Daphnia pulex: one gene and its partner. The protein of the gene in region 1 purifies or fractionates together with the protein of each later gene. This does not show direct contact. Links are inferred from orthologs where the notes say so. Each region holds a gene or a part of one and is shown in the gene's direction. Other genes may lie near its edges. The genes, in order: ER membrane protein complex subunit 5-like and flotillin-2-like.

Region 1 (2,826 bases):
GCCTGCAATCACGCACAATTTATAATTATTACAAATTCTAATAATCATACTAAATAGTATTACCAAGGCGAGCAACCATTCCTGGAGCGGGTAATCTGGTCCTTGGTGAGGGCTCGTAAGCCAGCGGAGGCATTCCGTTAGCAGGGGGAGGAATCTCGCAGGCAAGCGGGGGCATTCCGCGTGGAATATCACATTGATAGTGATTTGGCACATTGTGTGATGCTTGACAGCATGAAGGCGCGTGAGGAGCTGCAAAACAGTTTGGTTGCATAGATAGTTCATGGCTAAACTTTGGTGGAGAGAAAACCCTGGGAACTGGGGACATTGGGAAAACACCAGATGGTGAAGCTTTATGGTAGCTGTGAGGTAATGTAGGTCCTCTTTGAATCACTGCAGCAGTATTAGGCTTCATCCAAGAGGGAAGTTTGCCAACAAGCTTTTCAATTTGAGACAGTGTAGATCTGCTCACTTTAGGTTGAGAAACCATCCCATTACACTGTCCTGAAATAAGAAGCAATGTCATTAGAAAAGTAAACAACTGAAGAATTGCAAATTTGTTATTCATTTACCAAATGGACTAGCTCTGGGGCCACATGAGTTTTCCAATTGAGGAAATTGATGAAATCTTGGCCCAGACTGAGATAACTTAGCTTGCTGTCTTAATTTGAAAATCATGTTTGCAACAATTTTCCATCTTAAATCCAGCCCTGCTTTATTGGCTCTGATAGTAATGAGTCTTTGTCTGAGATCCAGAGTTTTGCGTGCCTGAACAAGCCGCTTTTTGGCCATATGATTTAAATAATTACTCCTGTTGTAATTCTTTGGTTGGATTGCTGTTCTTAATGGTCTTCTGTTAAATTGAAAATTGGTCTGCCGTCTCAGGAAGGGTGAGTTATCTTCAACATGTCCTTCTTCCTAGAATGGTCATTGAAAGTTAACACTCCACTGCTTCAATGGTTTCATGAATTTATGCTTACCAGGGTTTTCTTAGCTCTCATATCCCTGATGACATCATCTATAAGAAATGGATACCCAAGGTTAGTAACAAAAACAAGTACACGTGGATTAAACGATGGACATTTTACCAAGAGACATCGACTCGTAATTTGCGTCTTGTAGCACCTCCATTTCTAAAAGATGAAGAAAAGACTACTTATAAAAAATGTGCTTGCTTTGGAGACACTTGTGTGGCAACGATTTGTCGACCCTATAACGTGTGTATCGCTCACAAAGTCATCTTCATAACTCGTTTTTTCTTTTTTAGTTTGCTCCTGAAACGGTATTAGCCTGTAGGCTATTTTTTGCAACAGAGTTGTAGGTATCACTTATTTACATATTTTTAATAAAATGTTTGAAAATATTTTTAAATGTGAAATTATATTTAATTGAAATAAAAAACTGTTACTTTAATCTATTTTACTTTGCAAATTTGTTATTTTCAAATTTTCGAAGTTCTCTAGAGCTGCAAGAGAGTCGTGCAGCTCTGCGCTGTTCAAGGGTTTGAGAGTGTAGCAGACGATTCGTATAATGGTGATAATTGGTAATTTGATTGAATCCCCTAAATCGACCGAGAAATGTCAAGCTCAATGAATAAATATATCTTTATTTTGGGAATGGTATTGCTTTTTCACGCTGCTTATTCGGCAGCTCAACGTAAGTTTGTATATAGATAACATTGGAGGGAACCGCAGAAAAATATATTATTCCTTTGACAGATCGATCATACCTCCGGCTAACTGAGCAAGAGTTTACGTCGCTCCCCGCAGATGTGAGTTACATATAAAAGCTTGCATTGCTGAAGATTTTTACAGTTAATTGTATTGTTTCACAGATTGTTCTTCAAACAATATTTAGCTTATTACTCACTGTTTTTGGAGTAACTACGATAGCTGGTGAATTTAAGGAGATCCGATCCAATATAGACCTACAGAAAAAGTATGCCAATTATAGCCAATCTTTGAAAATTGTTATGATTATATGTTTTTCTATTACAGGACTTGGAAAAATCTGAATAATCGGCCATCCTTCTACACTTTTAATCACAGGGGACATATTTTCAATCCTATTGTGCTTTCACGTTCTAGCACTGGAAAAGGGGCATTAGAAGCCAATTAAACTATTCAATCAACTCATTTAGTCTTGTGTGTGTGTGTGTGTGTGTTAATAAATTTTAACATTCCTTCTGAAATGTTTTGACATCTAATATTTAAGATTTTATTTTATTTCATTTTTATTTATTTATCTTTAGCACAGTTGTTTGAAAATTGATATGATGCCAAACGGAACCGGTCGTTTCATGTTTATAAATATGCAAGAAAAAAAACCAAGAAAGAAACGGGAAACGGTAAGAAAAATCAAAAAGGTAAAAGAAAAAGAGGAAAAGCGACCATTTGGAATTTAGCCAAAATATGACAGCGTTGGCATTTTGATTCAGACGACATGATTTGATCACGTGATCCAATGTCATGACCGAGTCCGAAAGGGCAGTTTCAGAATTGTCGGTACTCGGTACTATAAATGAAATTACAAGAGGCCCTTGTCTTTCAGCCTGTGTTTAAACGATAGGGATGCCGTCGAATCACTGAACCTATTTATAAATTCCCTAGGCATTGGCTCTCTCAAGAGTAATTGGATTCACACGCGCATGTAGTGTGAAGTAGATTTCCTCGTGCAGTAGATACAAAATAGCAGAATTGTTGCAGTGTTCCGATCCCCATTCGAACCACAACACGTTAGTTTGAATACATCATAGTATTTCATTTGCCAGTCATTAAAAGTATACGTTTTTTATGAGCGAATGTGTGTTTTCTTTCTTTCCACAAAGTT
Region 2 (3,828 bases), on another chromosome or scaffold:
TCAAGAGTTTTATTCTTTCTTCTTTCGAGAGAAAAAAAATATTGACCACGTCATTTACTTTTTTTTCATCTGTTCCGTCTTCCATGGGTGGCCGGATGCGGATCGCACCGTTCCTTTTTTTAAAAAATTTTTATTTAACCACCAGCCCAAAAGAAGAAGCTAAGAAGTCGAGTGTGGAGTTGCTGGACTGGAACGGAACTCCAAAACTTGTTCTTTTTTTTTAATTTCGCCCGGCAATGACGATGCGTTAACTTGTTTGACGTTAATCGTCCGAGAAGGGAAACTGAAACAGATTTCAAATGGAATAATCATCTTTGAATTTTTTTACTTTTTTCAAATTATTTTTTTCCGAAAAGATGGTGGACGTGTAGAATTTTATTTTTGAATTTTGGAAAAGTCATTCAACCTGAATCGTCGTAACATTTTCCCACCACCACCACCGGCTGCTGCCACCGTATGAATCAGTCGGGCGTCAGAGGGTACATGGCGTAATTATTGTCAAACCCTCCAGGTTCTTTCCTTTTCGCCCCTACTACTCCGCCCACCGGTCTCACCGTACAAGGAAATGATTCGTAATGTCTAGAGTGAGAATGATGTAAGAATCATCGCCTCAATTTTTTTTGAAGTACAAGAAAAAGAGTAGACGGATAATTCCAACAGGAGAAGTGAAGACTTTCTCCAACTGGAAATAATTTGAAATTCAAACTGCCGAGGCAATAGACCGTGTCGTGTCGTATAGTCCCGCTCGTATCGTGTCCAACTGGTTTTTCCTCTTCTTTCCCCTGTGTTGCGTGTCTAGTAAAAATTCCCCATCTCTTTTCTCAAAGTATTTCAGATATTTATTATCTCCGATTCGATTTGTGTAGTCGATAGATTTTTTAAAAAAAGGGGAGGAGGACGACAAGGAGAAAAGATTCTAGTCGTCAGATTCGCTCTGATTCTATTAGCAGAAAACTTTTCACTACGCGAAAGTTGTCGAATCGTAAACTGTCGGCATTCAAATTTGCCGCCCTTGTTTTTCGATTCATTTTTTGCAATTTTTTAAATTTAGCGCCATTGAATTCAGCGCGGGAAAATTTGAAAAGTCGATCGGCCGATTGAAAAGTTGACGGATGTCAAACGAACAATAAAAGTGGCCAACACCCGTAGATTTTCGGGACCGTTTCCACCGGTGGAAATGCGGAGGAGCGTCTTTCTTGTGCCTTGACCGCAATTCTACGGTGGGAGAGAGTCTACCAGTCGATGTAGACATGACGCAAAGTCTTTGAAATAACCAACGTTGTCGTTCGTTTCTTTCCCCGACGAATTATCCCGTTGTTGTTTGAATAGAAGAAGAAGAAGAATCAACACTTTCACGATCTGAAAAATTCCGTTTTTCACGCGGATGACGAAACACGGTGGCGTCTGTCAACCGCTCGTAGACCAGGGATGCGCACGTGACTCCCGGCATGCACGCCAAAAGACCGACCCATTTTTATTCGTGATTTTTATTTACTGTACTTTAATGTATTTGGGTGTTTTAGCTGTGCCTTTCGCCCATTCCATCGCGGTGGGGGTCCGCCGCTCGCTCTCAACTTCTCCGAAAGCCACAAAGTTATTTCTGTCTAGCAAAAAAATAAAAAGAGAATCGAACGTCTTATCTCTTTCAAAACGATATTAAAGCCCCACCCTATTTTTTTCGGTGGAAACTATTCAGAAGAAGACAAAAAAATACACCTGGAATGTAGAGTAAAATAAAAAAAGTCAGAATTTGAAAATCAATTTGAAAAAGGAAAGGAGAAAATCAGAATAGAGAGCGAAGGGAAAGGTGTCAAACAAACGAAAAAAAAGATTCCATTTCCAATCTGCCAAAGGCTCACCAACAAACATTTTTCGCACTGGCCAGACCAACGGTAAAGAAAGGAAAATAAACCTTCCGGGGCTCTTTGGGAGTGGACAAATAATAGAGAGAAATATATAAATCTTATCGGTTGCTGTACATGTACCGTTGTGTTCCTAATACTACTACACATGTCTAGTAGTAGAGAGAGAGCAGCAGCACCCAAAAATACGTCTATACAGAGATGGATGGATGGCAACAATCCGCAACCCATCCGCCCCAATTGATCATCATCAAGAAACCAACCAGAGAAGACCAACCAGAGCGCAGAAAAATTGAGAAAAGATGAAAGAAATAAGATTTTTTTGTCTTTGGGGTTTTTCGACGATTGTCTTTGCCACCAGAACAAGGAGGCTATGCCACCCACCGACCAACCTACCACCACACAACAGGTGGTACCAAAAAAAGGAATATGGTGGATGTGTGGCAGATGCAGAGCGCAGAGCTACTAACAAATTTTTTATTTTCTGACCGTCGGATACGCGCGCAATGTTCCACGACGGGATTTTGTTTAAATGCTCAGCTCTCCAAAGTCTATCCGGCGCTCCTCGATGTTGTGTTGTTCTTATACTGTTGTTTGGTGGTTGTTCCAGTCGTTGCCGGCCACTTTCACGTTGTTAACATCCAAGGACGCGCCCCCGAAAATGAAGAGAGAAAAAAGAGAGACACGAGTGGGGAGAAACATCACGGGCCACGCAATCGAATAATTTCGACGGAAAATTATTTTCCCCCCGCGATGGAGAGAAAACTTTCTCTTTTTTGGCTTATTCTGGATATTGGTGGAGGATTTTGTGTAGATTTGATGAAGGCGCGAAAAAATCTGTTTCAAATGGGAAAACTAGGTCGTGTGTTGTTTGTCTTTTTGATTGAATCGACCGTGGCGAATTTCTTAGTTTGCATTTGCTAATTTTTGGAAAGTTGCCGGGTGATTTTGTTTTAATTGCTGATAATTTCCCTTGATGTTTTATATTTAATTTTCATTCGACTTAATTTTGAATTAAATTGAATAATTATTACAGGCGGCTGCTGTGGTGCCAGTACTAAGACGACCATCGTCGGCGGATGGGCGTGGGCCTGGTGGCTCGTAACGGACGTCCAGCGCATGTCACTCGAGGTAAAACACAAAAATGTTATTTTATTTTCCATTTGGCGCTTCAGCTCAAACAGATAAAATAAATAATTGGCTCCTTCGTGGAAAACATTCGAGTCAAGGGCGCCATTTCCGACAAAATTCAAAAATAAAAACTTTCTCCAAATTTTTTTTGGTAGTTTTTTAGTTTTATTTGTTTCACAATGACGTCACAATTGAAATCCGTTTAGACACCCAAGAAATTGGTGTTGCGGTTTCCGTTATCCGGCGACTTCCGAAGCGGATGAGACGGGAGAGTCTATTGATTCACTTTTTTGTTGTTTTTGTTTTGAAATTACATTTTATTTTATTATTTTTTTCCCAGGCTCCTTATTTATTAAATGGTGAGAAGATAATAATCACCGACTTCCGTTTGGTTGTTTTCTATTTGCTCCTATTCAGGTGATGACGTTGAATCCAATGTGCGAGCACGTCGAGACGGCCCAGGGAGTGCCGCTGACGGTCACCGGAGTGGCCCAGTGCAAGATCATGACGGACAAGGAGCTACTGCGGACGGCCTCTGAGCAATTTCTCGGCAAAACTTCCCAAGAAGTCCAGCTAACGATCCTTCAAACCCTCGAAGGCCACCTGCGCGCCATCCTAGGCACTCTCTCCGTCGAAGAGGTGCATAGTTGTTGTTGCTCTTTTCAAGGTTTCCCGTCTGGTTTGTTTTCTTTTCAAATTCCCGCCGAATTGGCCGTTTAAACCTCCCGCTGAGAGTCCACCGAAAATGTAGAGGGGAAAATGGACATGTCCGTCTGAATAAAGAAAAAAGAAATGCCCAGGGAAAACCGCAAAATCCAGTAATAACGGTGTCTGT

What was found.
Region 2: the proteins of ER membrane protein complex subunit 5-like (region 1) and flotillin-2-like purify together in Homo sapiens (affinity purification with mass spectrometry; 3 studies listed by BioGRID and IntAct, with this or other methods). This does not show direct contact. The link is inferred for Daphnia pulex from reciprocal best matches to the Homo sapiens genes MMGT1 and FLOT2.

Annotation. Positions count from the first base shown.
Region 1 is NC_060023.1:1,096,220-1,099,045, reverse strand, and holds ER membrane protein complex subunit 5-like, read left to right. Parts: upstream 1-1,492; 5' UTR 1,493-1,574; coding exon 1,575-1,653; intron 1,654-1,715; coding exon 1,716-1,768; intron 1,769-1,831; coding exon 1,832-1,935; intron 1,936-1,994; coding exon 1,995-2,115; 3' UTR 2,116-2,203; downstream 2,204-2,826. Other genes in the region: uncharacterized protein LOC124197044, read right to left, coding at 1-2, 64-501, 570-915, 978-1,015, 1,086-1,128. UniProt on the Homo sapiens protein: Part of the endoplasmic reticulum membrane protein complex (EMC) that enables the energy-independent insertion into endoplasmic reticulum membranes of newly synthesized membrane proteins.
Region 2 is NC_060025.1:1,483,955-1,487,782, reverse strand, and holds part of flotillin-2-like, read left to right. Parts: intron 1-2,898; coding exon 2,899-2,993; intron 2,994-3,410; coding exon 3,411-3,632; intron 3,633-3,828. UniProt on the Homo sapiens protein: May act as a scaffolding protein within caveolar membranes, functionally participating in formation of caveolae or caveolae-like vesicles. May be involved in epidermal cell adhesion and epidermal structure and function.